Pelodiscus sinensis: one gene and its partner. The protein of the gene in region 1 interacts with the protein of each later gene in a pairwise test. Links are inferred from orthologs where the notes say so. Each region holds a gene or a part of one and is shown on either strand. Other genes may lie near its edges.

Region 1 (9,709 bases):
AGTACCCCAAGATAATCTGTTCTAGGACCAGTTTTGTTCAATATCTTTATTAGTACCCGGAATGAAGGGAGAGATTGCATCCTCAGCAAGTTGGTAAATGACACTAAGCTGGGGGGAGAGGTAGATACGCTGGAGGGCAGGGACAGGGTCCAGAGTGACCTGGACAGATTAGAGGATGGGGCCAAAAGAAATCTGATGAGGTTCAACAAGGACAAGTGTAGAATCCTGCACTTGGGACGGAAGAATCCCAAGCATTGTTACAGGCTGGGGTCTGAATGGCTAAGTAGCAGTTCTGCTGAAAAGGACCTGGGGATTACAGTGGATGAGAAACTGGGTATGAGTGAACAGTGTGCCCTTGTAGCCAAGAAGGCTAATTGCATATTAGGGTGCATTAGGAGGAGCATTGCCAGCAGATACAGAGAAGTGATTATTTCCCTTTATTCAGCTCTGGTGAGGCCACATCTGGAGTATTGTGTCCAGTTCTTGGCCTCCACTATAGAAAGGATGTGGACACATTGGAGAGAATCCAGTGGAGGATGAACAAAATGATTAGGGGGCTGGAGCAAATGACCTATGAGGAGAGACTGAGTGATTTGGGTTTGTTTAGTCTGCAGAAGAGAAGAGTGAGGGGGAATTTGATAGCGGCCTTCAACTTCCTGAAGGGAGGTTCCAAAGAGGATGGAGAAAGGCTGTTCATAGTAGTGACGGATGGCAGAACAAGGAGCAATGGTCTCAAGTTACAGTGGGAGAGATCTAGGTTGGATATTAGGAAAATCTATTTCACTAGGAGGGTGGTGAAGCACTGGAATGGTGGTGGAATCTCCATCCATAGAGGTTTTTAAGTCTCATTTTGAGTAAGCCCTAGCTGGGTTGATTTAGTTGGGATTGGTCCTGCTTTGGGCAGGGGGCTGGACTTGATGACCCTCTGAGGTCTCTTCCAGTTCTATGATTGCGTTGGCTTGACATGATTTATTCTTGACAAATCCAAGTTGATTTATCACCTTGTCTTTTAGGCCTCTAGATAGGAGGTGTTTGATAAAACTTCTTAACTATTCTTTTGTTATCCATCAGCATGGCAAAGCATCAGTTTCACTGCAACTATTCAAAAGCTTGTGTGCATCAGTGAAACTGTCAAAAAAGCCAATTTCAAGCAACTGCTTCTCAGAAAACAATTAGCCACAGAAGGAGCCATTGTAAACATGCGGGTTATGTCACAGGGGAAAGACCTTACATTAAAATAAATGAAAGGTGGGGACAGAGTGAACTAGTAGTCTGTGAAAGAAAGATAATGACAGAGAGATTCTTAACAGAGAAAGGAAAAAAAAAGAAAGTTCTCTTATCCCCACCATCCCCTTCTAACCACTAGATGTGAATGAAAGAAGAACACTATGGCTATGTCTACACTCGCGGCTTCTTGTGGGAGTAATATGCAAATGAGGCTCAGCATGGAATATCGCTGAGCCTCATTTGCATACCTAACGAGCCACCTTTTTTCCAGAAGAGGCTCTTGTGCAAGAAGGAGCATCTACACTGCCCCTTCTTGCGCAAGAAAAACCCTCTTGCGCAATGCCGTTACACCTATTACTTTTCAGTATTGCGCAAGAGTGTAGACGTAGCCTACATGTGGTTGCTAAAGACAACTACCCGGTAAAAAATAAAGGCTGTGTCTACACTCCTGCTTTTTCCCAGAAAAGGAAATGCTAATCGAGCGCTAATTAGCATATATCTCGCTCTCATTTGCATATTCTTTTCCAATCCTTTTTGCAGAAGAGGTTTTTGAGCAAAAAAAACACAGTGTAGATGGGGCCATTTTGTACAAAAAAACCCTTTAATGCAAGAACCCATATTCCTTAAGGTTCTTGAGGAATAAGGGGTTCTTGCACAAAAGTGTTTTTTTGTGCAAAATGGCCCCATCTACACTGTGGTTTTTTGCTCAAAATCCTCTTCTGCAAAAAGGATTGGAAAAGAATATGCAAATGAGAGCATGAGATATGCTAATTAGTGCTCCATTTGCATTTCCTTTTCTGTGAAAAAGCAGGAGTGTAGATATAGCCTCAGACTCCTCACTCTTCTCAACTGTTGGTCAGTTCATACATCTCATCCTCCATAAATACCTCTAAGAATAGAGTTAGTTCTCGAGTTATAGTGTCTTGTAATCTCTTCAATCCTCCGCTGCATAACTTAAGACAAAACAAAGGTAAAGTAAGCTGAAGAAGTGGGTTATGCCCACGAAAGCTCATCTACATGTTTTTTTAGTTTTTAATGTGCTGCAAGACTATTTGTTGTTTAAGTTTTTCCAGTTTCGCTGTGTCTAGACCACAGTTTTACTTTCTAAATGGTGCTTTTTCAAAAAAGCGCCATGACACAATTATGCAAATCAAGGGCAGGATATTTAAATCCCCACTTCATTTGCACTTTCAAAGTGCCTCATTTACATCCCTCTGCCAACAGAGGGATGTAGTCTAGACATAGCATTACAGACTAACTCGGCTACCCCTCTGAAGTTTTTAAAAAGTAATGTTAATGTTCCATTTTGAATTAGCAGTTGAAAAACTGGTCATCGTGCTCATCTGTGTCTGTTACAGTTTCCTAGCATTTTAAATAACCATCATAATCAATGAAAAACGTTTTTATTTTCAACATGCTGTTAGGTATATATTTTCAGGGATCATAAATCAACACTGTAGTGCCAGTGTTATCTCAAGTTCAATTCCCAGCTCAAGCACTGATTTGTTATGGGCCTGAAGCAGGTTAACCCTCTTATATGCCTCACTTTTAGCATCTGTGAAATAGGTTTTGAAAAATGTACCAGTCACCTACTAAAAGAGTTCTAAAGCTATTAACTATATGCCAGTGAGAAATATGCTTGTTTTCCTTCAGCAAATTTCAAAGCCAATTCCTTGGTAGGAAACCTAGACTGCAACTGCTGAAAAGGTGAGCAATGTCCCAATCTTTCATCTTTCTGCCTCTAGACAGGAGGCGATTGATCTAATGCTGCTTCTCACTTCCAGCAGTTTGTTTTCTCTCTCTTCCCCACACAGCTTCCTGGCTGCTAGCAGAGGGTAAAAATACATCTTACACCCCTTCTCAGGAGGTATGCAACTCCAGCTATGTTAATTACATAGCTAGAGTCCACATACCTTGTTTCAAGTTTCCCCACCAACTCCACAGTGGGAGGCTGAAGGGAGCAAATGCTCCCATCAGCTTCCCTCCAGGCATCCTCTGAGTTCCATTTAGTGAGTCTTAACCAGACTCACTAAATCAAACTCTGTAAAATAGAGCTCAGCAGCTTCAATTCTCCCTTCAGTGAAGGGGAGGTAAGAATCATTCCACTGTTTCATTCCACCTACAAGCATATTTTGGGGGGTACCTTTGAAGGGCATTCCTTAACAGAAACAACATGACATTGACATCAGATTCATCTGTTTTACTGCTAAGCCATTGGTCTCCCTGTAGCAGTGAAACTGACCAGTCTTGTCAATTCTATTCTGAAATACCTGAAGATTTAAGAAGAATTTTCTCTGCAAGGAATAGAAACTTAAATGCTACACGAACTGGCTGTGAAAGCTCCCCATTAATGAGTGGATTTTCAATCTTAGTGTTAACTCCCTACCGCCTCCAAGATAGTTCAGGTTAATGGAGGAAAGACATTAAAGGACCAGCATCCCCTTATTTGTCCCTTTGTGCCGTAACAAGCCTGGGGGTTGTATGAGAAGAGGTCCCAGATCCGCCTGACACGTCCTTCCCCTCCGAGCCTCCTCCCCACACGAGGCCCTGGTTCCTGGCGTAGAAAAAGCGCTTCGATTTCCTTTGGTGTCCGGTGGGGATGGGAGCGAGGAAGCCCAGTGGCTCATCCCCTCCTCTCCTCGCCACGAGAGACGTTAGTGAGACTGAGTAACGGCTGCGGGGCTAGTGAGGGCGGAAGATTTCTCCTGGGGTCTGAGTGCCTGGGCAGGCCCCTTCCTCTGAGAGCCAGGAAATGGGGTGTCGCCTCCCCGGAGAGGCCCTCTCACGCACCCCACGAACGGGAAGAGGGGGCGAGGATCTCCCACCCCCTCTTTACTGACCTGCCGCAGGATGGCTTTCCAGGGGGTCCCCTACGGAGCAATTCCCCTCACCCCACTCAGTCTCCTCCAGCCTCTCTCACACAGCCGCATTACCCTCCTCTTGCCCCTCGCAGATCTCTCCGCCCCCTCACAGCCTCTCTCCCCGCTCCTATTTCCCCGTAGAAAGACTCTGCAAGGGACTCGACAACGAAGGCGGATGGAACCGACTCCTCTAGCTCCACCTTTGAGGCCGGAGAAAGGAAAGGGGCAGAAAGGCAGCGAGGAACTATTTGATCCAGCTGGCGGCAGTGTACTGCCTCTTGCACGCACAGTGACGTGTTCAATTTTTAAAGGGCCGGCGGCAGGGTGGGCGCAAAGGATGCTGGGGGTCGTAGTTTCCCCCTTTTCCAGCACCGACCACGCTGGGAGCATGTCTCGACAAACCGGTCGAGCCTACCTCGCCGCGCCACGCCCTTTGCTACGATTCGAGCCAATCGGCGTGCGCTTTGGGGTCGCGCGCTCCTGGCTCACTCTCCTATACGCTCGGGAGCGCGCGACTAGCTGGAGTCTCTTGCTCCGAGCGCGCAAGAGAGGATGGGTGCCGCGCGCGGGGAAGGAGGGACAGTTAGTGTCACGAGCCGTGGGGGGCGTGGTCTCTGCCTGTGGCCGGCCGCTGGCTCGGGTAGTTGAGTGGAGTGAGGCTGTCGGTGCCAGAGTGAGTCGGCTCGTCCCGGGGCTCGGCGGCAAACGAACCCCTCAGCCCCGCCAGTGTCCGGGGCCCGTGAGCGGTAAGAACGGCTGGGGGGGGGGAGCCAAAGTGACTTCGGGGCGCATAGACCCTCCGTGTGAAGGGCGGGGGCCGGGCTGACCCAACGGGCTCTTGAGCGGGGGTGGGGACTTCTCTGCGGGGGTAGGAATTGGCTCCCTTTGAGCGTGAGGAGGGACGTGTGATGGGGCGGGAGGGAAGGAGGCAGAGCCATCTAGGGACAATGAATTGGCTTCCCTTCCCCCATGGCTCAGGTTTCCTCTACGGGACGCCTCCTAAGTTGGGGTCCGGGGTGGGGGGCGGTAGGAAGGAAGAGACGCGTCTCTCCCGCTCAGCGGGTTTCTGGAGTAGAAGCAGCAACGATACCGTGGAAATGGCTGATCAACTTTGTTTTAACATCTCTGTCTCCTGAGGGATGGGGGCTGGGAATTGAGGGGGCATTGACGATCCAACGACAATGAAGGACGCCTAATGAGCCATCCTTCCGCAGCTCGGGATTCGTTGCTTGTCTCTTCATTTCCCCCTACAGTGCTCTCCTCCTCCCGAGCATCTAAAAGTGTGCTCCTCAAACTTAAAGGACAGAGCAGCTCCTTGTGGCTCAGATCAGATTGAGTCTATAGATCTCAACTGCTTTTTTATTACAGATCGATTATTTATTTGTAGGCTGGGGAGGCCAGGGCAGTTGCCACCCTTAGTATCTTTCACTTTAAACACATTTGATACTAGTGTCTTTGACACTATTTTTTAAAATAAGCATAATTGTTCTTCTTCTTGTGTATATATATATTGCATTTTCAGCATGCTCATTTGCTAAACATATTGCAAAGCAGTCTATCTCAGTCAACTGTTTTGACATCTTTGTGAGCTGTTCTTCTATTTACTTGCAAAATTCCTAGAAAGTGAAAACATTGCTTCAGACTCCAGTTTATTCTACTTTTCAGACATTTTTATTCATTTTTATTCCTTTCATTTTTATTACTGTACATTATCAGCATAAAGGAAATGAGACTAAAACTGTTAATTTATAAATACCAAATTAATTTTATATTGTATTAAGCTTTTCTGGTTTAAGTATTCTCTTCTGTCCCTTATTTGGGATTTGGTATATTGATCTGTGTGACTCTTTCTCTCCTTGTCCTGTTTTCCCCAATGACTAAGCTGGGACCAGATATGAAAGGGTTGAGAAGTTATTCATTGAAATCTGCTTTGTAATAATGAGTAAAAAAAGATGTTTATGTAGTGCAGCGATTATCATTATTTACTGAGCAGCTGGTATCTGACACAAGATGGCCATGCTCTTTTTGGCTTGCCTCAGGAACAAGAAACATTCCTGCTTGGATGAAGTGGATCTTTGCCCACGAAAGCTTATGCCCAAATAAATCTCATAGTCTTTATGATGTCACAGGACCCCTTGTTCTTTTTACAAATACAAACTAACACAGCTGAGCCTCTGATTAGGGATCTTAAATATCCATTAATTGAATAGTCAATTAACCTCATGAATTCTTATTGGTTACTCGACAATTCTATAATCCCCAGGTGTGGGGCCAGCAGCCAGTGCAATCTGGACCCATTCCCAAGGAGCCCCTTGCCGCTCTGTGCTACTGCTTCTGTATCAGAGGCAGCAGAGTGGTGTGCCAGGCAGGAGCTGATTGGAGAGAGGAGCCAGTTTAAAAACCAGCTCCCCTTGTGGACCAGCTGCCTGCCATCCCCGCTGCCTCTGATACAGAGGTAGCAGCATGGGGTGGCAGCAGCCCCTATTCGGGGGAGTGTGTGCGGATTTGAGCTCTCGGATCCGGAGTGAGCCAGAATGGAGGCGGGCTTGCCTGCCTGCCTGGCTCCTAATACACATCGAATGCAGTGCTGCAACAGGGATAGGTCCTGGACCCGGTGCAAGCTGGGACTCAGCCATGCTGCTGGTCAGCCTGCTAAAAAAAATTACCCGGGGGAGCAGGAGATGGAGGGGGAATGTGTGTCATCTATAGCATTAACTTATACGCTTTTGCTCATTAGTTAATCAATTTTACTACTACATCCCTACCTCCTGCTACTTGTTAAAATAAACAGAAGTAATCTTTCTAGGGAAGAGGCTGTGATCAACTCTGAGTAGATTCCAATGGATAACTTCTCAACCCTTTTATATCTGGTCCCAGCTTAATCTTTGAGAAAACAGTAGAAGCGATAAGGGGAGACCAAGAAATACTGATCATGAATTTGATGAAGTAGGTCTTTGTCCATGAAAACATATGTCCAAATCTGTTAGTCTTTAAGGTGCCACAGGACTCCTCATTGTTTCTGTTTATTTTAGTTACATTTTGGATGGTTCTTTTTTGTAGAACTCTTAATTCTGTGCACTTTGATCAGTACTGACGCTTCTACTTTTACTATAGGGCTATGTCTACACTCGCGGCTTCTTGCGCGAGAAATATGCAAATGAGGCTAAATGTTTTAAGAGTTGTCTCCTGTCTGTAAAAGCACTTTCCTCCAAAATTTGTGATTCTATGTGTCTGTGAAAAATGTTACTTTACAATATAGATACAATAAAGAATAGAAAAAATTAAATACAAAATATTAAATCAAACAGTTTATTATAGGATTCAAAATTAAGGTCTTGAGACATTCACTCTAGATTTGATGGAATACTAGAATTCAAATTCTATAGTTAGATGAAGGCTATTTAAAACTGATTGTCCTATAGTTTAAAATAAGCCGTATATATGTTTGTGTTACAGGTGAGATTCATTTAGTTAAGTGTGACTATATCTGACCGATGACTGACTTTTATACTCAACTGGATATATGGTTTGATTCAGAGCAGTAAAGTAGGAGATATTTGTACTGCTGAACATTTTGCTTGGTAACTTTGACCTAGGTTTAATATGATTAGTTAGAGCTCTTCACCTGATTCCATCTTAGCTTATAGATTTTTGTTCTGCAAAGTAGTTATTGATGATTTTTCCAGATAAAATGTCTGGCAAAGCTTTAGCATGTGTTTCAGGAAAACCTCATATTGCTCTCTGTAGTGTTGAAATATGTAAGAAGTGAATTATTCACTTTCCATGAGTAACTTTCCGTGAGTAATCCTACACTCTCATTTCATGATGGGGATACCTTATTGTCAGAGTGTCCTGCGTTGCTCCATTTTCTGACTTCCCAAATTACTTTTCAAAAATTGTTTGGCTTATCTTGACTCTGGTGACTCATTCACACATGAACTACAATGGCAGGTAGTGTGTGTTTCTTAAGTTATAGGACAGAAGGTATCAATTTAAACCGAGACAAATCTAGTGACGAGCAAGTTTAATTATAGATCTTTACTGTTACTGGTCAGTTTCACCTAGCTACATTAAGTTCAGAAACATGGTGTTAATATTAAGGACAGGAGCCATTAAACTTACTGTGTATGTGTTTAACAGCATAACATTTACCACTGTGTTGATAAGTCACAGTGTGCTACAATTTTTATTCAGTACATTTTATACTTTTTTTGGAAGGGATGTGTGTGTAAGGAAAGGGGTATATCTGTACAAAGGACCACTTTGCAAATACACCTAATTTCTGTAGATACAACTCCATATATACCTTTTTTAGATTTTTTTTTTTTTTACCTACATAATCCTTGATGTATGCTGTTCAAATTAATTGAGTACATTTAATACATTAGGAAACATGACGTGTTTTTTGAGCTAGTAGAGCTTTAATGGTCTCTTATGTAATCAGAACAGTCAAACTTTTTACATGAGCCACACCATGATCACAAGTTATGGTTTGGAGTCATACATGTGCTAAGCCTCTCTGTTCTGTTAGGAAACATGTACACAAAGTAGATATACAGGTTGAACCTTTCTAGTCCATCATTCTCTGGTCCATTAACATCTGTGTTCTGGCATGATTTAAGTTAGCTAAATGTACACTTATCATGGGTGTGGCTAAGTTTTCTGCAGTCCCATAAAGCAGGGGTGGGGAGCCTTTTTTGGACTGGGGCAGCTGAACCACCGAAAAGTCAATTGGGGGCCACACGCAAGTGAGAAGCAAAAAACCCAAATCTTAACTGATGTGGCCCCTAACTGAAAAGGAGAAAGACACTCCTTATATTCCCCTCACATACCAGAGCCTAGTAGATTTTGTGTGCTCCAGCCTTACGGGGAGGTGTGTGTGGTGGGGAGCTGGAGCGCCAGAGTGGGCTCCCCAATGCTGAGGGGTGCCCTGAGACTCGGGGCCCGGATCCAGACAAGCTGGGGGCTGCATGTGGTCCCTGGACCTTAGGTTTCCCATCCCTGCCATAAAGTTTGTTTCCAGCCACCAACCCTGGTTTTCAATGGCCCGTGCTATTATTTACCTCCAGTTTACCACTAAATGTCTTCTAAGAACCCAATAATCAGTGGAAATGTTGGTAAAGTTGCTAGACAAATAGACCTCCTGAGGTTCAGCATTGGTCAGGTCCTGAGGGTACTGGACTACAAAGGTTCAACTGAGAATGTAAGCAACCAATCACTTCTACCATTAGCTGCCTTTATCAGAGTGGGGTGCGGGAGGCAGGGCTGAGGGGAGCTGTCTTAAAATACATGTAAAAGGCTGATGCGCAGTGGAGGCGGGGGGGGGGGGGGATCCGGTGCAGCTGGGAATCAGCTGTCCTGGGCTCACACTGGGTCCCTCCTGCTGTCAGTAGGCTCTTAATACATTTAAAACTCAGAGCTGCAGTGGAGTTAGATCCTGGGCTGGGAGCTAACCCCACTGTAGCTCCCTCACTTCTTGTCTAGTCAATGGAAAATCCATCGACTAGTTGATTAGTTGATTAAATTTAACATCTCTAGTTGAACCTGTAGTATAAAAATACCAAGATATAACATTTTGTGTCTATTTCTCTGCTGTGTTCTTTCATTTCTGCACTTATGCC
Region 2 (9,521 bases), on another chromosome or scaffold:
TCTGATCTCATTTGGGAAGTGGTTTTCCTGGAAGATGGGCCAAAACTGCATTTGCCTTGGACCTGGAGAGTTTTAATGTCTGTATTGCTTCTGCTTCTGGGGAAGGGGGGGGGGGATGGCTCTGTACCTTGGCTGGGGGAGACCAAGTGATCTAGCCCAGCAGGACAGGGTGGTGAGACCCCCCCCAGAGAGCAAAGAGGTGAGTGTCAATGGCTGTGTCAGCACTCTGGGAAGCACCCCAAAGAGGTCTTCTGTGACCATCACAGATATCAAAAAGTGGCTCAGTCCCAACCCAGAGACTCTTCAGAGGTCATGTATCTGATGGAGGCAGCCTAATTTGTGTGTCAGAGCAAGGCTCTTTCTAGCAGCTAGAAGAAAGTACAAAAGAAGGACAGCAACATCACCATTTGGCCTCTCTCTTCACCCATATCAACACTTGGAAGATCATCTGAAAGACAAGATTCTGAACTGGGGAGATTGAGCCCAGGCTGAAAAGGAACACAACCTGTGCCTTAAGGACTGTGAGCTGCTGGTAACATCTATTAGGATAAGAAAAGATGCTTGATTCCAATTTTGCTCAAGCTATGTCTCCACTACCACTTATGCATCTGACAAAGTGGGCTCAAGCCCACAAAAGATTATGCCCAAGTACATGTGTTAGTTTTATGGTGCCACAGGACTCCTGGTTGTTTTTACTACCTTTTATGTCGGCAAAACTTACGTTGTTCATGGGATGTGACTATTTCATCCCCCCCGGTCAACAAAAGTGACATTGGCATAAACACTCATGTGCCTAGCGCTATGTCAGCAGGACAGCTTCTCCCACCAACACAGCTTCTGACACTCATGGCAGTGACTTTATTATGCTGAGAGAAGAGCTTTCTCTCATCGGCATAGAGCATCTTCACCACACACACACTGCAGCACTGCTGCTGTGTCCGTACAGCTTTGCTGCTGTGGCGCTCTATGGCAGCGGCGGATTTGGGACAGGGCGAGTGGGGTGGCTGCCCCGGGCCCTTCGCTTGCAGAAGCCCCGCGCATGCGCCGTGGCGCCACAGCGCATGCGCCATGTCAAAGGGGGGACCCCCTGTGAAATTGTGCTGCCTGGGGCCCCACACAGCGCGGCACTCTCATCCGCCCCTGCTCTATGGGTATGTCTAGATTACATGCCTCTGCCGATGGAGGCATGTAAAATAGGCTACTCGACATAGTCAATGAAGCAGGGATTTAAAGATCCCCGGCTTCATTAAAATAAAAATGGCCGCTGCGCTGTGCCGGCTCAGCTGATCTTTGGCACAGCGTGCGAGTCAAGATGTGGATCGGTCGACAAGGGAAGCCTTTGTCTACCACTCCTTTATGCCTCGTGAAATGAGCTTTACAGGAGCGGTTGACAAAGGCTTCCCTTGTTGACCTATCTGCGTCTTGACTCGTGCGCTGTGCCAATGATCAGCTGAGCCAGCACAGTGCGGCAGCCATTTTTATTTTAATGAAGCCAGGGATATTTAAATCCCCGCTTCATTGACTATGTCGGGTAGCCTATTTTACATGCCTCTGTCGGAAGAGGCATGTAATCTAGACATACCCCCAGTGTAGAAATGGCTTTACTCCACTGCAGTTAGAATTTCAACTGTGTTTCTATTTGTATTTCTAATATAATCAATTTTGCTTTCTATACCTGCTACTTAATATATTTTTCTATAGCTAATAATTCTGGTTTATAAATGTTATGATTTTGGCTGACATTCTTGGGGAATCTCAGCTCAGGTTAACAAGGGCTGTTGCACATCCTCTACCCCTTGCTGTAGTGGCAAACTCATAAATGAGTCTGCACAGTCCAAGGGAGTCTTGAGCAGTGAAAGATGATGTATTTCCGGGCTGCAAGGTGGGGGTGATTGGCTGGTGTCCCTCTCTGTATGATTTGCAAATGGCTCAGAAAGCTTTCATGCAATTTAGCTGGTTGTGAGTCTCTGCATACTGAGTGATCACAGCACCTGAAGGAGTTGGCTGTTTGTTATTGGCGAGCCATTGTCAGGGACAGCCCAGGTATAACTGTGCCTTCTCAGTTATGATCCATGAATGCTGCTGAGGAATATAACAAATCTGTCACAAAATGCTGATGGTTATTACCCATGAGATATACCAAACCAGCAACAAAAATAACTTCTGTCTTACCACACAGGCTAACAAGAAGTCATAAAAGCAGTTCCTAAGGCATTCCAGTCTTATTACACCATCAAAAACACTGGTTCCAGAGAGTAAATGTTCCTTACAATCAGTCTCATCAAATAATAGGTTCTTATGATCCCAAAGGATCAGCCATACACCCAGGTCGATATACAGCTCAGATCCTACCCCAAAATTACACTGTTACTCCATCCTAAACGGAAGTATTTTAGCATTTCAACCTGATAACGTCATACTAGGCTGGAGAATTAAGGGACCCACGGGTATGTCTACACTACCCTCCTAGTTCGAACTAGTGGGGTAATGTAGGCATACCGCACTTGCAAATGAAGCCCGGGATTTGAATTTCCCGGGCTTCATTTGTATAAGCGGGGAGCCGCCATTTTTAAAACCCCGCTGGTTCGAACCCCGTGCAGCGCGGCTACACGGGGCACGAACTAGGTAGTTCGAACTAGGAAACCTAGTTCGAACTACCTAGTTCGTGCCCCGTGTAGCCGCGCTGCACGGGGTTCGAACCAGCGGGGTTTTAAAAATGGCGGCTCCCCGCTTATGCAAATGAAGCCCGGGAAATTCAAATCCCGGGCTTCATTTGCAAGTGCGGTATGCCTACATTACCCTCCTAGTTCGAACTAGGAGGGTAGTGTAGACATACCCCCAGTTGTCTCCCAGATCCAGCTTGTACCATAGGGATCCCATCATTGAATTGTGACTCTAGGAATTTAGTTCGAGTTCCACCATATACCTCCTGGCTACGTCTAGACTGGCATGATTTTCCGCAAATGCTTTTAAACGGAAAAGCTTTTCCGTTAAAAGCATTTGTGGAAAAGAGCATCTAGATTGGCACGGACGCTTTTGCGCAAAAGCACTTTTTGCAGAAAAGCATCCGTGCCAATCTAGACGCGGTTTTGCACAAGAAAGCCCTGATTGCCATTTTCGCCATCGGGGCTTTTTTGCGCAAAATGGTTCTCAGCTGTCTACACTGGCCGTCTTACGCAAAAGCATTTGCGCAAGAGGGCTTTTTCCCGAATGGGAGAGTCATTGTATTTGCAGAAGAACACTCACAATCTTACATTAGATCGTCAGTATTCTTGCGCAAATTCAAAGCGGACAGTGTAGACAGCTGGCAAGTTTTTCCGCAAAAGCAGCCCCTGTGTGATTTTGCCCATCTCAATCAGGGCAGTGTTTTTAAAGCACCTGTTAGAACCTGCAAGGCTGGAACCTGGGAGTTCTGCGTCACTGACACGTCCACATTGCCACAGGAGACTGAGGCTAGGCTCCTCCAACAGGACCATGTGAGGTAGGGCTCAGTCAGAAGGATTGCCCGGAAGGATCACATAGAAGGACCTGAGTGTTGGCTTCTTCAGTTCCTGGACTGGCTGATACCAGTATAACCCCCTTTTTCCTCCCTGGGTTACTTGGAGCAGGTCACACTCACAGGTGTGCCTGGGCGCCTTATGTTTTTAACATAAAAGGAGATCCTGAGTACCCCAGTGGTGATGTTGTTTAGTTGGGGATTCCCTGTCCCCCCGCTTCCTGCAGTCCCTTGCTCCGTAAGAATACACAATGGTCGTGCCCCCACCTGTCTGGCCCTGTATACACTTAATGGTGTGCCTTGGGAGCCTCCAGGAATAAAATTATTCCAACAGTAATCTGGATCTAACCCCAGGACAACTCTTATAAATAATATACATCTAATTGATTACATAGAATTAACACACCTTTACTTAACAACTTAAAGAAACAGGGTTTAACAGATTAACAGTGAGTAAAATCAATTAACAAAGTACACAGAAATAATAGGAACTTATCTATCTGGCATTTGCACTGCCACCATTTATCCCACCCCAGAGTGTGCACTCCTCTGGAGTCAGAGTCCCGGACACTTGCTTGCGTGGGCACGCTTGAAGGTCTGTAGCTATATGTGGAGACAGCACTGTGCAGGTCCTATGTGTGTTAGCCCAAGCTGAGTAGCCAGCTGCAAAATCCCTCTGCCACTGGAGCAGGCTCCACCAAATGCCAGCAGCTTTGGTTCACTGGGCTGGTGCTGAGCTTTGTCCCAGGCAGCTCTTTTCCAGAAAAACCCAGTGAGTTACTTACAGTTTCCATCTGTGTGCCGGTTTTTAGTCCTTCTCAGCTGCAGACACAGCCAGAGTCTCTTCCCTCTAGGGCAATCAACAGTCTCTGAAGCAGCCTGCTAGATCCAAGCCCCGCAGGCTCTCAGTCCCAGGCTGTAGCTGCAACACCACAGCTTCTGGACTGGACAAGGCTCCTCCACAGCAGTCTGGCTCCTCTGTCCCAAAATAGAGAGCCCTCTCTACCAACATGCCTAGACAAGCCCCACTTCCCCTTTTTTTCTCAAGGGCTCATGGGAGTTGTAGTCTCTACGGCTAGATTGCAGCACACAGGATCCTCCCAGAAAAAGTCAGAGACCCCTTTAATAAGGGGACTACACCAGTATTTAAACCAAGAAGCTATGAAGGGGAGATGTCTGAGCAATAAAAGACTATCTGCCAGTCTCTGCTCCAGACCCTGCTGGATCCTAGAAACTCCAACTTCCAGCCCTGATTTGTCCTCAACTTCAGTGTTCAATTGCTAGCTGTTATCTGGTTCCTGATCCCAATTTCCTGGTAACCTTACCCTGCCTGTCTCCTGATGCCTGACTCTCAGTTCACCATATGGCCTGTCTTGGACTCTGACCTCCTGGTGCCTGACTCAACTTGACTCCTTCTCCAGCCATTAGGTTGAACTGACCTTGTCCTGGATGTGAGAGCACCTAAGTGACATAATCACCTGAGTCATATTGAAAATCAAGTGACTCGTGCTCTTGAAAATCTTACCCTTAATCTTTCACTGTCTCAAAATTCCATCTGTGTGTGTGATTTTGGTTTGTTAAGCTCTATGCCTTAGAGGTAATTGCAGGATAAATGTCAGTGTTTGTGCAGTCTTCAGCTATTAAAGTGATTTGGCCTGCTGCATGTTTTAGAGTCACCCCTTTTGTGATGTGCTGTTACAGACGCAGCCAGCCACTGAATCATGGTGGCTCTTCAAACAGGGCTATATGAATGCAAGCTAAATATTGTTTAGTTCACACCAGCAGCATCAACACAGAGCAATTAGAGCACAATGATTTGGTGTACTCTGCAATTCACACCCCCATGTCTGCACTGTAGGACAATATAGACAAGCCCTGAAACACTGTGGTAAACCTGCAATGCTTATAGACATCAGCACTACAGCATGGGCAAGTGCTCCAAAGCAAACATAAACAAGAGATGAGGAAAAAAAATTAACTGAAAAAGGACCATATTGTCTCTTTCACCAAGAGAAAAGTTGGTCCTTGTCTCTCTAATATCCTGGGACCAAAAAGTTACAAGAAGCTGCTAACAACATTTATAAGGAATGTTCAATTTGGTCCTGATTTTGAGAAGTGGCTGCACTCAGCAAACAAACCCAATGTATAATGTTAAGATTGTGGATACAGGTAGATAACTATTCAACGGTTTACATGTACACACAAACCAGTAGGATACCTGTAGTGCCTTAAAGCCTAACAATTGCAGGGGGAAGGGGAGCTGCATAAGCTTTCATGGTCTGGAGATGCATTGTGGGTTCCAGCCTATGACAGTGTAAGCCGAAACAAAATAGTTAGTCTTTAAGGTGCCACAGGTCTTCTCATTGTTTTTGCTGAAGCAGGGTAACACAGCTATCTCTGAAACGCAAACCACTGCAGATTTTAAAATGTACATATGCATGTACAAAATCAGAGTCTGCTTTTGAAAGCCAAAGCTTTCTATTCCATGCTTTTTAAGAGGACAAAGACTGGAATGCAAAATAAGTTTAAAAAAAAACTAAATGAAAAGTTGTAGGGAGAAGCCCTTTTGACTGTACACTCCTGGTAGGCACATTTAAATCAGCTTCCTTCAATAATGCTTCAGCTTTAGGCTGGTTGCAAAGAACTCATGATTTCCAGGAGACTGAAAGAAAAATAAATTACAGCTTCAAGAAATAATTGGCCTCTGCTATCTCCTCCAATCCAAGTACATCCACAATTACTATGTTCATGTGATGTGCAGAAAAATGAACAGTCAAAGCTTGAAGGAAGGTTTTTTTTTAAAGAGTGACTATACATCATTTAGGTGCTCACTGTATTTATTTTTCATAGAGTTTCTTCTATGTCTGCAGTTACTGAATAGAATCTTGCAGACCATACGGCATCAGTAATTGGTTCACCTATCATACCAGCACACTTACCCATTAGTTCACAGCTGCATCTCTACCTCTGTATATCACATTTTTTGCCCTCTTCACCTGGGTAGTGAGGATCAGGAAACAGCTCTCTAAACCAGATGTCTTGTGTTCACTTCACTTTTATGAAGATGAGAAGGAAAAACAAGTCCAAGAGAAGGCAGCAGAGGAGTAAGAAAGGCAAGATATAGCAAAGCTGGTGTGATGTTTATCTCAGACTGTTACTATCAGACTCTCATTGTGCTATAATTCAGAGTCATGCTGAGAAGAAATTTCCCAAAAGTCCTTTTTTGAATTTTTCTAATAGGACAGGGTTGCTCTGACAAAAAGCAGAACAGGTGGCCACTCTGAGGCCTGGTTTACATTAGGAAATTAGATCAATATAACTACTTCTCTCCACGATGTGAAAATCCATACCCAAGTGACACAGATAAACCAACTTAACGCCTTTGTAGCCAGCGGTAGGTTGATAAGAAAATTCTCTCAGGCCTGGTCAACACTGCTACTTAAGTCAGCCAGAGGTGTGACACCCTCCCCCTCGCTGAGTGATATAGCTTATATCAATCTACCCAGATCGTGCTGTGTCTTTCCTACCACCTCTCGGGGAGGCGGAGTACAGGTATTGAAATTGATAGCAGAATTCTCTGCAAAGCAAATGAGGCAGGCAGGACCTGGAAGAGCCAGCATTGGGACTGGCCCCCACGCCTGAGGAAGTCAGGTGCAAAACCTGGGGGTGCTGCAGCATCCCCCACACTCCTACTTCTTGTGTCTGTCATTTCCAGTTTTTGTCATGGGAAAGTTAATATGCTTTTTTCCGAAGAGGTAGCCATGTTAGTCTGTTTCAGAAAACACAATGACGAGTCCTGTGGTTGGCATCTTAAAGACTAACAAATTGATTTAGCTAAAACTCATTTAATCAGATGCATACTTTTTTCCTCTTCTCTTCTTGATACATAGAAAATATACATACCACATGATTACAGAAACCTTGTAGGATGGAAAAACAGAATGACTATCATCCCAATTACTAGCAGACAAGCATTTCTCCTTTAAAGAAAAAAAGCTTTTGTTCCCAGGATGAAATCCTGCCTCCACTGAAGTAAAGTAGATTTTTGCCACTATAGACTGACTACCCTTCCCTCCCCAGGTGAATGCCCTAGCTAGCCACTAGTCAACAGGAGAACCCATCCCACCACCTTACCTTCAGGGTGTCCCTTATGCCGCCTTCCACATGGACAGCACGGGTGGAGGGGAGGTGGGATAAGGGATGCCCTGAAGGCATCTAGACTGCCAAGAAAAGTCGGCAAAAGATACCCAATTTGCATATCTTTTTTTGCTTTGTTTTCCGAAAGAGGCTTTTCTGACATTTGGCCAAATTTCAGAAAAAAGTCCTCTTTTGGAACATCCTTTATTCCTGTCACCAAGAGGAATACAGGGATACTGAAAGAACATGTACGCTTTTTCGGAAACTGTTCTGAAAAAGCATACACATTCCTCTGGTATCCTGGAAAAGCTCTGCAGTCTAGACATAGCCTCTGTCAGCAAACAAGAATCAATAAGGTTGTACTACCACCTGGACTGAGCTGTGTCTAACCTTCTAGCCAAAAAAAAAAAGAATTAACACAGATACTCAGGTGGTAGTACAACATCAGAAAATCATTGGCAAAAATGAGTCCAAATGTGAAGCGCAACACACAGAGTCAAAAAGTCTTGTTTAAATGACACCAGGAGTACAGTACCCAAGGCCCCGATAAAAGATAGTGAAAGCAGCAGCCAGAATAAAAAGGAGCAATTAAGAGCTTCTGTCATAACAACCAGTTTATATTCTATTCTAGAATTACTCAAAAGGGATGTATTTTATAGTTCATTTAAATGAAGGAGAGCTGCAATTAGCCCCATTTTATTAGACTAAGGACTAGTCTAACTTCTGTTCACACACACAAATCTCTATCTTGTGTTAGGTAGTGCTTTAAACTTGAGCTAGCTGACCTAAATGGAGGGTTAAAAATGTAAGTGACTTTATATGTGTGGGGTGGAATTCTGACCCTATTCAGGGCTAGCCCACAACATTTTGGCACATGAGGCAGGGAGCTCAAATGATGCCCGAATGACCCTTTGCTTGGGCCAAAACTTTGAAAAGTCCCAATTTTGCCTTCTTCCTGTTCTACTCCTCTCATGGTACTGCAGAGAGAATACCTATGCACCAGCAGCAGATACAATTTTCTACACTCTGGGTCCTAATGGTGCCCCCCCCCACAGTCTGGCACCTGAGGTGGCCACCTCAGTTCGCCTCATGGTAAGGCCAGCCCTGACCTTACTGAAGACCAGGACTTCAAGATTCAAACACAAGGGGGACTAAAAATCAAACCCCAAATCCCATAAAACTCTCTCTCCTCTCTCTGTATATTTCCCCCTATGAAAAGTTACCTCAGGTTATTCCTGATAGCTTTGAAAATATAGTCAGATTGCACAGTTAATGTCAAACACTTGCCAGTGTCTCTTAGCTTCCTCCACATGTATTGAGATAAAGGATTCACTGAGACGTTATAGGAAGAAGCACAAAACACCAAAAAGTATACATTTGGTCCAAATTCATTTTTTTCCTTGAAGTTTACTCATTGAAAAACATTCTACAATAGTCCTGCATCTGTTTCCCTTTCTAAACTAATTTAAATTCTCTCTTAGGTGTCTGAACCTACTTTCGGAGACTTTAAACTTGGGGCATGCTCTCTCTTCCTTTACGAAAAGGTTGTGCAGTTGCTTTTCATTGTCTGAGATTTTGCTAGCTCTCTAACCATGCTGCTCATAAAAATACAATCTGAATCTTGTTAATGTGTGACAAGAAGAGCAAAAGAGAAACACAGAGGCACAAGTGTGTTATTAGAGAGTAAAACTGCTACCTGTCTCAAGCTCAGAATTCTCGCCCAGCAATGTAATAATGCTTTCAACTTTATAGCTGTTTAGGATGTTACTACATTGTGGAAAAAGAAATAGCAGACTATTTTGACATAATATTATGAAGGGGCTTTACATTATTTATCATTCTGAGAATGTACAAATAACTGTGAGCACAGCTGACTTCCACAGTATAT

What was found.
Region 2: the proteins of HMG20A (region 1) and HPCAL1 interact in binary tests that used the Homo sapiens proteins (3 or more experiments, as listed by UniProt). The two-hybrid records come from large-scale screens. The link is inferred for Pelodiscus sinensis from reciprocal best matches to the Homo sapiens genes HMG20A and HPCAL1.

Annotation. Positions count from the first base shown.
Region 1 is NC_134724.1:33,086,303-33,096,011, reverse strand, and holds the start of HMG20A (high mobility group protein 20A), read right to left. Parts: upstream 4,214-9,709; 5' UTR 4,068-4,213; intron 1-4,067. UniProt on the Homo sapiens protein: Plays a role in neuronal differentiation as chromatin-associated protein. Acts as inhibitor of HMG20B. Overcomes the repressive effects of the neuronal silencer REST and induces the activation of neuronal-specific genes.
Region 2 is NC_134713.1:27,068,295-27,077,815, forward strand, and holds the start of HPCAL1 (hippocalcin-like protein 1), read right to left. Parts: upstream 4,472-9,521; 5' UTR 4,282-4,471; intron 1-4,281. UniProt on the Homo sapiens protein: May be involved in the calcium-dependent regulation of rhodopsin phosphorylation.